Linked DNA regions of Mus musculus. The protein of the gene in region 1 binds, or shares a complex with, the protein of each later gene. Links are inferred from orthologs where the notes say so. Each region holds a gene or a part of one and is shown in the gene's direction. Other genes may lie near its edges.

The links. The genes of interacting proteins can lie anywhere in the genome.
Region 2: Crnkl1 (region 1) and Rbmx2 share a complex: the UniProt entries of both Homo sapiens proteins name them as parts of the minor spliceosome. The link is inferred for Mus musculus from reciprocal best matches to the Homo sapiens genes CRNKL1 and RBMX2.
Region 3: Crnkl1 (region 1) and Bud13 share a complex: the UniProt entries of both Homo sapiens proteins name them as parts of the minor spliceosome. The link is inferred for Mus musculus from reciprocal best matches to the Homo sapiens genes CRNKL1 and BUD13.

Annotation. Positions count from the first base shown.
Region 1 is NC_000068.7:145,932,368-145,936,115, reverse strand, and holds the start of Crnkl1 (crooked neck-like protein 1), read left to right. Parts: upstream 1-1,415; 5' UTR 1,416-1,511; coding exon 1,512-1,562; intron 1,563-3,150; coding exon 3,151-3,303; intron 3,304-3,748. UniProt on the Homo sapiens protein: Involved in pre-mRNA splicing process. As a component of the minor spliceosome, involved in the splicing of U12-type introns in pre-mRNAs.
Region 2 is NC_000086.7:48,693,525-48,697,272, forward strand, and holds the start of Rbmx2 (RNA-binding motif protein, X-linked 2), read left to right. Parts: upstream 1-1,479; 5' UTR 1,480-1,591; coding exon 1,592-1,596; intron 1,597-1,795; coding exon 1,796-1,911; intron 1,912-3,748. UniProt on the Homo sapiens protein: Involved in pre-mRNA splicing as component of the activated spliceosome. As a component of the minor spliceosome, involved in the splicing of U12-type introns in pre-mRNAs.
Region 3 is NC_000075.6:46,281,595-46,285,342, forward strand, and holds the start of Bud13 (BUD13 homolog), read left to right. Parts: upstream 1-1,417; 5' UTR 1,418-1,436; coding exon 1,437-1,579; intron 1,580-3,748. UniProt on the Homo sapiens protein: Involved in pre-mRNA splicing as component of the activated spliceosome. As a component of the minor spliceosome, involved in the splicing of U12-type introns in pre-mRNAs.

The DNA of each region.
Region 1 (3,748 bases):
TGACCAAGCTCCAGTAGACCACATATCCAAGAATATCTGGGCAATACGAATTAGTCTTCAAAGGTTAAAAAACAAAAAGACACACAGTTGGGTGAATAGGGAGTGGGGTAGATCTGGGGAAAGCTGGAGGAATGGCTATGATTAAGACGCAAAACTTTCAAAGAAGGAATTAAAAAACAAACAAACAAAATGCTTGATAAAAAGGAGTATTGATGGACAAAGGCTCGAGGGGGAGGATGAACAGGAGGTACCCTGAGGATGTTGACAGTTCCAGGCCAGCCTGGTCTACAGAGTGAGTTCCCGGACAACCAGGGAATCAGGACTACACCGAGAAACCCTGTCTCCAAAACAAAACAAAAAATCTTGCCGTTGTCCTAAATCTCAAGACTGTTACAAAAGTAAACTCTAACAGTTTCTTGTAACTGACACGGGGTGGGGATGGATCGTAGAAAGTCCTTTGAGGGTGGGGAAAGAGTAGGAAAAGCTCACCTTCCCAATTTTGCTGTCAATTCCAAAATTTTTATTTTAAAAAATTATCTTAACTATATGCTAAATCACTGTTTTTAATGTACTTCAGATATTATACGTACTAACATCTAGCGAGTATTTTACAGAGACAGATTTTTTTCTTTAATCTTAAGGAAATAGATACTTTTATCCTTTTATAGCTAAGGATATTAAGGATAAGAGAATTGAGATAATACAAATTTACATGCCGGGCGTGGTGGCGCACGCCTTTAATCCCAGCACTTGGGAGGCAGAGGCAGGCGGATTTCTGAGTTCGAGGCCAGCCTGGTCTACAGAGTGAGTTCCAGGACAGCCAGGGCTATACAGAGAAACCCTGTCTCGGAAAATAAAAAAAAAAAAAAAAAAAAAAAAATTTACAGACTAAAAATTTGATCAGTTTCTGTAGGTGCTTTGCTACTGACTAATTTCCACCTTTCTCTAACATCTTGTTTCAAAAATACCTCTTCTGATTTTTTTTTTAAAAAAATCCACATTTCAAGATTATTAACTTGGTCCAATCGCGGGGAAGCCTAAGGCGAGGGGGCGGGAACTCGAAAGACTACAAATCCCAGAATGCACCGCTGCCCAGGCTGCTTGCAGGGTTTCCTCGGTGCTTTTCCCTTCTCCCCGGAGTTTCTACACCTGAAATGGATTTCTACGCCCCTCAAAGGTGCCACGGCCTACAGCTGCACGCATCCCGGAGATAGACCTGGATGAGCCCTCGCCGCCAGAGCCCTATATCCCTGCGGCGCAGCCCGCCCTACCCACCTCACCCGCAGCTCCAGCAAGCCGCAAGTCTCCACAGAGGACGCGCACACAGTTGCTAAGGAAACGACGCGGCGTTTCCCCTGACTGGTGAGGCGGTCAAAGGTCGTCTTCGCAAGTTCCGGTTCCGGTTCCGGTATCTAGTTTGTTGTGGCTGACTCTGTTGTGCCGGCCGGTTCGAAGTGCTTTTCTCAAGTCCGGTTGTCGGCCAGGATCGCTCGAGTTCCACGGCTGCAGTCATGGCAGCCTCCACGGCGGCCGGGAAACAGCGCATTCCTAAAGTGGCCAAGGTAGGCGACCGGGAGGAGCCCCCGAACAGCATCTGCGGTGTCGGGCACCAGAGATTCGAGACAGCGATCTCTGTGCCGCGGTCCAAGAAGACAGGTGGTCGGTGAGGTGGCGCAGGGTCTTGTCACTCCGAGCTCGTCTCGCGTCTGCCCAGCCTTCCTTCCAGGGTTGCAAAGCATCGGTTCGGTTCGGTAAACTGTTTGCTTTGCTAGTCTCTGGGGATCCCCTACTTTTACTCCGGGCAAGAGTGCTCCACTAAAACTGGAGAGAGAGCGAAATGGCAACCCAGATAGATGTATCCAAGTAGTGTAGATATGCCATGGGCAAGAGCCAGAAGGGTGCCTGTAAACTTGAGGGTAAACTTTGTGAAGGAAGTTAACACTTAGGCTGCATCAAAGTTAGGCAGTGAAGAGAATGGCAGAGGATAGGCTCTGGGCAATGGCATAAAATTTAGGTTAGATAGTAAATTGTTATATTTCCAACTGTGGTTGATACTTCATCAATACTTAATAAGTGTCAAATCTTGCACTTAGCCATCACATACAGTCATTCTCTGGAAGTCTGATTTGGCCATTTTGTCTTGAGACAAGTTCTTATTTCCACATGTAATTATTGTAAAAGTCTGATGTGGTAGCTTCCCCCCTACCCCCGCTCCCAAACCCCTATCCTGAGTCATAAAAGCCAGGGAATGCATGCTGACTAAGTTTTTGACAGCTTGACACAAGATAAAGTTATCTAGGAGGAGGCATCTGGACTAAGAAAATTCGTCCCTAAGCTTGCTTGCTGGCAAGTGTGTGAGGCATTTTCTTGATTACCAATTGATGTGGACGCCCCCCCCCCCCCCGCCTACTTGGGCAGTGCCACACCTGGGCAGGGGCTCTGGTGTAGTCTGTGAGAGCAGACTGAGCACAGCTGGTATGCCTCCAGCTTCCTGCCGTGTCTTCCATTCATGAAGACTGTGGTCCAGTTGTGTAAGCCAATCAGTCAGCTCTTTCCTCTGCAGGTTGCTTTTGTTGGTGATGTTCGATCACAGCAGTAAAAAGGCCAATTAGAACTTAGGGTCCATCTGCACTTGAACACATTTGACTTTTAAGCTCCTGTGTTGGAACTATAGCTTCAGGTGCTCTAAAAGCTTACAGGCTAATGATGGAGACTTAGTAAAAACAAGTTTCAGTTGGCCTAAAATGTCATGGAAAACCAGCTTGTCCACTAGAAGGATTAAAATATGTAGAGGAGTTCTCTAAGCAGGTTATAAAGAGGAAGGAGTGTGATTTTTTTTTCCCCCTGCCCCTCATGGAGAATTGAAGATGTTATTCAAAGATGGCATCTTGGGCACATTCTTAGGAGGGCTTTTTCTTTCGAGACAGGGTTTCTCTGTGTAGCCCTGGCTGTCCTGGAACTCACTCTGTAGACCAGCCTGGCCTTGAACTCAGAAATCCACCTGGTTCTGCCTCCCAAGTGCTGGGATTAAAGGTGTGTGCCACCACCCTGCCATTCTTAGGAAGTTTATGTCCTGGAAAATATACAAGGGTTTTAAAATCTCGTGTGGAGAGCACTACCCAAAATAGGAATGTCTCTTTGTCTTAAAAGGTGAAGAACAAGGCGCCGGCCGAAGTGCAGATAACGGCCGAGCAGCTCCTCCGAGAAGCTAAAGAGAGAGAACTCGAGCTCCTCCCACCTCCACCTCAGCAGAAGATCACAGATGAGGAAGAATTAAACGATTACAAACTCCGGAAAAGGAAGGTGAGTCCGTCAGAATGCACTGTGCAACCTGTCCCAGTTGCTGCCCACAGTGGGAACGAGCTCCCAGAGAGCCTATGTGATGGGACCTCAGGCGAATATTGGGAATTATTTAATCCACGAATATTATGGAAGTTATATGGGAAGTTCTATAAATTACTGAGCACTTGAAGGTAATCTTGAAAGGTGTTTTAACATTCTTGTTCTTAAAAGGAATGAGAGTAGAATATATTAAAGTACTCGTTAATTATTACAGAGAACAGCAAAATCTTGCAATAGCTACCCCTACATTTTTCTTGTCTCCATAAACTTTAGAGAAACACCTGTCACTGATACCCTTCTGGAGGAAAGCTGCTGTTCCTTGGCATCTAGGATATAATTTCTTTTAGGAAGAGTAAAACGAGAAGTGTATATCATAAGGAAAAGCAAAGTCGTTTTCTCTTTACTG
Region 2 (3,748 bases), on another chromosome or scaffold:
GAATAATCTTTCCTTTCTTTAAGGTTTAGAATGCCATATGTAAAGGTGGAGGTATCAGAGCCTTGTTAAAGCTCATTAAGAGAAAGTTACTTCCTCTTGTTAAAAGAATGGATTCTGAGTTCTACCTCTGGCCCTAATGATGGAGACGTAATATTCTGATCAGCCTCAAAAGAGAATATTACATGTTGTCTCTTACCTTAAGAGTTCCATACTGCCTCTAACCACAACATTTGGGAGGCAGAGACAGGTGGATCTCTGTGAATTTCAGGCCAGCCCGCTCTACAAAGTGAATGCCAGGAGAGTCACAAGCTCTATAGTGAGACCACGTCTCAGGGGGAAAAAGAGAGTTCCATGCTTCTGAATTGGTAGAATAAATATTGTGAAAATGGGTATACTTCCAAAATTAATTTGCAGATTTCATGCAACACCTTTCAAAATTCTGATGTATTTCACAGGTTTAGAAAAATAACACAAGAATTGATATGGAACTACAAAAGACAATAGGTAGAAAAGAAATCCCAAGGAATAAGAACAATGCTGATAGCATTATAGGACCTGACCTCAAATTTTACTATAGACCTATAGTCATAAGGACAGCCTGGTATTGCTATAAAAGTAGACATTAATATCAATGAAATAGAATAAGAGAATCCAGAATAAAATGCCAAAGCTATTCCTATTTAATTTTTGACAAAGGAAGCAAAAACATATATTGGGAAAAAAATAACCTACTTAAGAAATATGCTGGAAAAACTGAATTTCTATCTGAAGAAGACAGAAATTATGTGAGTGCAAGTGCCCACAGAGGCCAGAGGAGGATCTTCTGAAGTTGGAGTTGTGAGCCACCTGTTTTGGGTGCAGGTTCTCTGGAAAAAAATCAGCAAATGGTCTTAACCACTGAGCCACCTCTCTAGACCTTCAAGCTAATTTTTTTGAAGCTCAGTTTTTTTCCTCTGTAAAATGGGGATGGTAACTGTATTTCATGGGGTTGTTGGGCGGTCAGCCTGGTCTACAGAGCGAGTTCCAAGACAGCTAAGGCTACACAAGGAAACAAACAAGAGATTGAATGAAAAATGCAAATGGCAGAAAGTGAGCCGCCCCCTGGGAGGCAGAGGTTTAGGGTAGGGGCAGGGTGAGGAGTGCTGGGAGGAGCCAATGGTGTGAGCCTTAGCCTGGGGTTTGAGATCTAACAGAGATAACGTGCATAAATTGTCTCTCATTCACAACCTTTAAGTTCTCTAACTCTTTAGTTGATAGGTACTAGTTTGACAATGCTAATTTTTGCCTGCTTGTTTATACGTGGGCATTTAATTCCGACTGGCAGAGGAACACAGGGTCCCCCCATCGCTCTCCATCAAAAAGGGGGCGGGGACTGACTTGGGAACTGTCCCTCCACAGGAGCGAATGCCTGAGAAAGCACCTTCACCTTACTGCGCAGGCGCCAGGGCTTAGCGGGCCGGAACTTCCGGCGGAAGTTCCGCCTCGCGGGCCCCGTGCTCCAATCTGAGCTGGGTGTTCGGGTCGCGGGAGCGCTTTGGAGCCTCACCCGGAAGCTGTTGTCGTCTGAAGCGAGCCGCGCGAAGATGCGAATATGAAGTAAGGATTCTGTTTCTCTGCGGATAGGGGCGGGAGTGTTCTCCGCGGAAGGGAGAGTGGCTTGAGGATGGCCGCCCAGAAAGGGCGGGGACCGGTCCTCGCCCTCCGGGCCTCCGGGCGGGAGAAGCTCGGTAGGGAGAGGGCGGGCTGGGAGGAAAAGTACTTATCGCACTTACCGGCTTGCCTGCCACCCGCGCAGCCCTCTGACTAAGGTGAAGCTGATCAATGAACTGAATGAGCGAGAGGTTCAACTTGGAGTGGCGGAAAAGGTGTCTTGGCACTCGGAATACAAGCACAGCGCCTGGATCTTTGTTGGTGAGGTCCCCATTTTTCTCCAGCAGTGCCTTTCAGAGTCCGCCCCGTCCCTTCCCCTCCCCTCCCCATCCCTCTCCATCCCTCTCCCCTCCCCTCCCCTCCTCATCCCTCTCCTCTCCTCTCTCCACCCCTTCCCCTCTCCTCCCTATGCCCCCTCCCCCGGTTATTTAGTGCCCCTGGTCATCGCTTCTGAACAAGCTCATCACCTCACACTCTGGAAGCTCCTCTGCTCACAGGTCCACTTTTCAGTTGCCTTCAGCGCTTCTTAGAATTGGTATTTGCCTTTCATTCTATTCAAAACCTTGCTACTTGGCTGCTCAGAGACAGTTCATTCCACAGTCAACCTATCACGATGTCAAAGAAACGGAGGCGCAGACAGGTTACTGGACTTGCTTAAGGTCACATGCTGCAGCACTTCAAAACTGTGGGGCTTGTGCTCTTCGTCACGGTCACATACCGATCGTGTGTGTGTCTGCCCTTCCTCACAATGATTTTTCTCCTCTCCTGGGCTTCTGCTCCTAGTCCTTAGCTGTACCGTGATGTACCTGGTCAGACATTAGCTGGATTTGAAGACATTAAGGCTTGATTCAAAATTAGCTTTACTCCGGCTGAACATTTGAAAGGCCACCTGAAAATGTGACAGGATCAGGGAAAGCTACTTCTGATGAAAAGAATAGAGTCTGGAGTACACCCCTGGCCCTGGGTAGATACCAGGACATTTTCAGGAAACCTACATGTTACATACTAGTGTGCCCCTTCCTTCAGACATAATCCAACAGAGCTTTAAGTCATCTGGCCAGTAGACACCTGTCAGGAAAGCTCAGTCACCGCCAGACACGCTAGGGACACGGGAGGGAAATGATCCCCAGTGCAGGTGGTGCTGATGTCCGCCCTAAGTCTACCTGCTGCTCTGAGGCCTCGCTGAGCCCCACCTCTCCCTTTCTTTCTGTTCTCTGGGTGCTGGCGGAAATCCTGAGCCTGCTTGCCCCTAACACGCTGGGCTTTCTCATCTCACATCTAAATGTTTTCCTGTCCCTTTGCGGCTACTGCTCTGTCCCCATTTTTGTGCACTCCTGCTTGCTCCACCTCCTAATTCTGAAGGCATGGCTGCCAACCCTTCTGTAGCTCCCTCCTCCCTCCTCCTCCCGGTAGCTGGCGAATCTTACACCTTGCCTCCCTATCAGCTCTCCCTCAAATGCTAACACAATGGACCTCAAGCTTGCCCTTTAGTCTGTTTTAGAATTATTTTACCAAGATTAGAGACTGAGAGCCTTTGTAAAAGGGGAACTCTTGAGTCTCTGGGGACAATATTACCTTTCGTGTATTCTCTTTATGTCACAACCAAAATCCCGCAGTTTGCCTTTTGAAGGGATTGTGTTAAGCACTTTATATGCCTCATTTTAGTTTATTTCCATAATACTCCTGTGAGGCAAATATGTTAACGTCCCCTTTTTGCATATGAAGGAGAACATTGAGGAACATGTGAAAGGCTTCCTGTGAACCGCTTAGCACTTTCCTTGATACATCCTAGTTTGCACGTGGGGGGCAGTAACAGTGTATTGAAGTCAGTGTTTATGAAATCTGAGTCTTGTGCTGGAAATCATGTGCTTTATAGGACTTTGGGTATGAAGACTCAATGATAAGATTAATTTGGTAATTTATGACCCTAGCCTTTCCCCTCAGAGTTAATTAGTTTTTTTCTTTTTCTTTTTTTCTTTTTGAGGCACAGTTTCGCTCTGAAACTCACTGTGTAGACCAGGCTTGCCTCGAACTCAAAGGGATCTGAGAGCTAATGACTTTTCTTCCAGACAACTGTCATCGTACCCACTCTGTCATT
Region 3 (3,748 bases), on another chromosome or scaffold:
TTAAACGACACCCGCCTCTGCGTTCATGTCCTTACTGATTACCATGTGCTAGACTAAGCTGGGTCACACTGAGTCACACTCAGCTCCGAGGAGACTGAGGACAGCTTGGGCCATGCAGTGAGAGTCCGTCTTCATGAAAAGAAATGAGGAAGGAAAAACCAGTTTAGTTTCCTAAGCAAATCTTTCTTGAGGTGGCTGCTGTAGAGGCAGCATTTGATTCACTCCAATAGGCCATCCTGTCTGCTCTGAGCCAGGTACACCTGTGTGGAGTCTAGCTGTTCTCATGCAGCTTAAAGCAGTCTGGAAAAGCAGGGTGGCACACACCTTTAATCCCAGCAGAGGCAGGTGGTTCTATGAGTTTGAAGCCGATTTGGTCTACAGAGGAAGTTCCAGGACAGCCTGGGCTACACAGAAAAACCCTGATTCAAGACAAAACGAATTCAAACTGGATAACCAGCACCATCCTTGTTTGGCCTCTGCTAGCAAAAATTAGAGCCAGGCAGTATGAAGATGTGTGGGTTCCTGTACTTACCCGAAAGTTCTTATTATCTATAAAGGAGGCTAATAAAACTGAAGGGTAGGTCATGGTGTCCAGCCACTTGAGAGGCTGAGGAGGAAGGCTAACAAATTCAGGGGCAGCTTAGGCAATTTAGATCTTCAACATTCAAAAGAGTGGGGATGTAGTTCTATAGAACTCCTGCATACCATGTGCAAAAGGCCTTGGGTTTAATCCTCGGTGCTGGATGAAAGAAAAAAAAATTGTGAGGGTTAAGTGAGAAGTCATAAAACACTTAACCCTTTATAGAAGAAACTCCAGAATCTTCCTGGTTTCTTTGCCACACTGACCACGAATCCATTTCACTGGGAAGAGTTTATATCATTTTTTAGAAAGACATATCAAAGGTGAGAAGGTCAGTACAGGTTTGATAAAAACCTATCAAACTTTTATAGTCACAAGTTTGACTTCCCCTAAATGGTACCCGGAAGCCTCTTCCAGCAGACTTCCCACCAAAAGGTATTTATAGCAATAAAAGTGATTGAAATTGAAACGTTTGGTACAGCGTCCATTATTAAAACGCTGCTCAAGAATGTGCCCCTAGTGGTACAGCTATGGTAAGTCCCACCATTCATACAGGTGTTCTTCCTTACTCTGGCGCTGATGCTGCCAGGGTAGGATCATGTTACATCGGCCTGTGGCTTCTCAGCTGAGACAGCGTGGGCTGCAGGCTGTTGCACCGATTCGTCGTCTCAGGAAAAGCACAGCCAGCCCGAGATGCACGCACTCTCCCCTGGAGCCTCTTAAGGCTCAAGTCTTTAAGTCCAGCAGTTCAAAAAGTCCCCGTCCTAAAGCTTCCGCTTCTGGCTCCACCCCTACCGTTTCGCGTTGAAGAATTTTGTCCCCCACGCCGAGCTGTTGCCCCGCCCTCGCCGCTGCCATGGCGGCAGCTCCGCCACTCACCAAAGCTGAGTATCTGAAGCGTTACTTGTCTGGGACAGATGCTGGCTTGGAAGGAGGTCCCGAGGCCGGTCGCAAGCGGCGCAAAAAACGGCCGAAGCCTGGAGGCGCTGGCGGCAAGGGGTGAGTGGACTGGTGAGGTGTCGCGCTGCCCGGTGGCGCCCTCGGCCGCAGCTCTTCCTCGTCCTGGCCCGCGCGGTGCTGCCGACCCCGGCCCGAGCTCAGGCCCCGCTCCACTGCCCCGGGGCGGGATTGTAGCTGCCACTGGCAGCTCAGACCTCATCCTCTGAGCAGCGCCTTCCTTGTGTTAAAGGCAGCTAGAACTTAACTCACTTTCTCCCCGCGTTTGTAGCTTACGTCGTTCCATGTACAGATTGAAAGTCGTGTCCAAGAATAGCAAAGCTGATTCAAACCTTTTTCTTTCTCACTTTATTTCTCTCTTTCTCCCTTCCCTTCTCTTTCTTTCCTTCTTCTTTTTCTCTTCCCTCTTCTTTCTTTCTTTCTTTCTTTCTTTCTTTCTTTCTAGATCCAAAAATCTCTTTCTGAGGGTTCCAAAGTGCCAGGAACTGATCTGGAATCAAAGACCCATATCCTATTACTCACATCTACTACTAACAGTAACAACTAAAATGGGAACAGTTCACATCCTGTGCCTGGCCTCTTTCTAAAATAGTTGACCATATAGCTTTCAGAACATTGTAATGGAGCAGACATTTATATTAAACACTATACTTCCAGATTGCAAAGAGATGTGCTGAGACAGAGTTCAGATGAAATGTCCATTAGTAACTTGGCCACTGGAATCTGGAAAGGTTGGGTTAGGATATCCAACATCAACCTACAGAACAAAAGGAAATGTCTGTATTTGTAGGCTTTAGAGCAGCAGCCCTAAGTTTAGCAGCTTACTGAAGGTGCTATTTTGGATAGAAAGTTGAAACTCTGGGGGCTAATTCCATTCTCACACTCCACCCCCAGGTCTACTAAATGCTTATCAGCTTAAAGAGAGTACTAGATAGGATACAAAGTGTGGCTCACCCTCTCTGTGGGGCAGTATCATGGTCTAACAGTATTATTACCGTATGGTCCATTGAACTGGGTCGAATTAGTCCCTCATTTCCACACTTCTCTTCATTAGAGCTTGAGCATGACCTCATTTATAGATGGAATCTTTGTGGTGTTACCAGTTAAGATGAGCCTATATTCAGTTAAGGTGGTGTTGAATTCAGTGTGGCTGATGTCCCTGGAAGAAGGGGCAATGGCATGCAGGGGGAAAGTTTAAGCTTTGGAGCAATACTGATTAGAATTAGAATCCTAGCTGTGCTACTTATAGCCTGAGTGGTCCAGGGCAAGAGATGTTCATCTCAGCCGGGCGTGGTGGCACACGCCTTTAATCCCAGCACTCGGGAGGCAGAGGCAGGCGGATTTCTGAGTTTGAGGCCAGCCTGGTCTACAAAGTGAGTTCCAGGACAGCCAGGGCTACACAGAGAAACCCTGTCTCAAAAAACCAAAAAAAAAAAAAAAAAAAAGAGAGAGATGTTCATCTCTCTGAGCCTGAAGTCCCAGCCCCTTACTACTTGTCTGAAATGGTTGTTGTGATTAAAGCTGTGTCATGTGTTCCTGGCATTTCAAATAACCTCCTCCTTGCAGCACAGTTCATCTGTGTGGCACACATTTATTTATTGGCTTGCCACCACCTTACAGTAATTGGGGCACTGGTTCCTGAAGCTCAAAATGATACACTATTTTCATGTCAACTATTCACATCCTCTTTAAATCATCCTTAGATTAATTACTTAAAAGCCCACTACAGCTTAGGTAGTATGCCAGTAGTTACGTTATATAGGCCATTGTAACTAAAGAAAGTCTATCTGTTTAATACATTGGCCATTCCTTTTCCCCTGGTTGAGTTTGCAGTTGTGAAGTCCATGGGTGTGGAGGGCTGAATACCTCCTGTGACAGTTGTGTTGAAGAAGCCTTGATGAACAAAAAATGTATTAGTCAGCAGGATATGGTGGTAAAAGTCTATAATCCCAGCACAGGGGAGGCTGGGCTGGAGGATAGAGAGCTGGAAGCTAGCTATAGGGAACAACAACAAGAAGAAGGGAATAAATAAGAGAATGCCTTAGCCCTTGGCTGTTGGAACTTAGAATTTAATGAGAATATGGGCTGATAAATACAAATGAAAGCATTCTAAGAGTGTGTAGAGGTATTTCTACTCTGGGAGTAGGAGACAGTGAGCAAGAAAGATAGGTCCAAGGAAGTTATTAAAAACCAGGGTGTAGTGGCTATTCC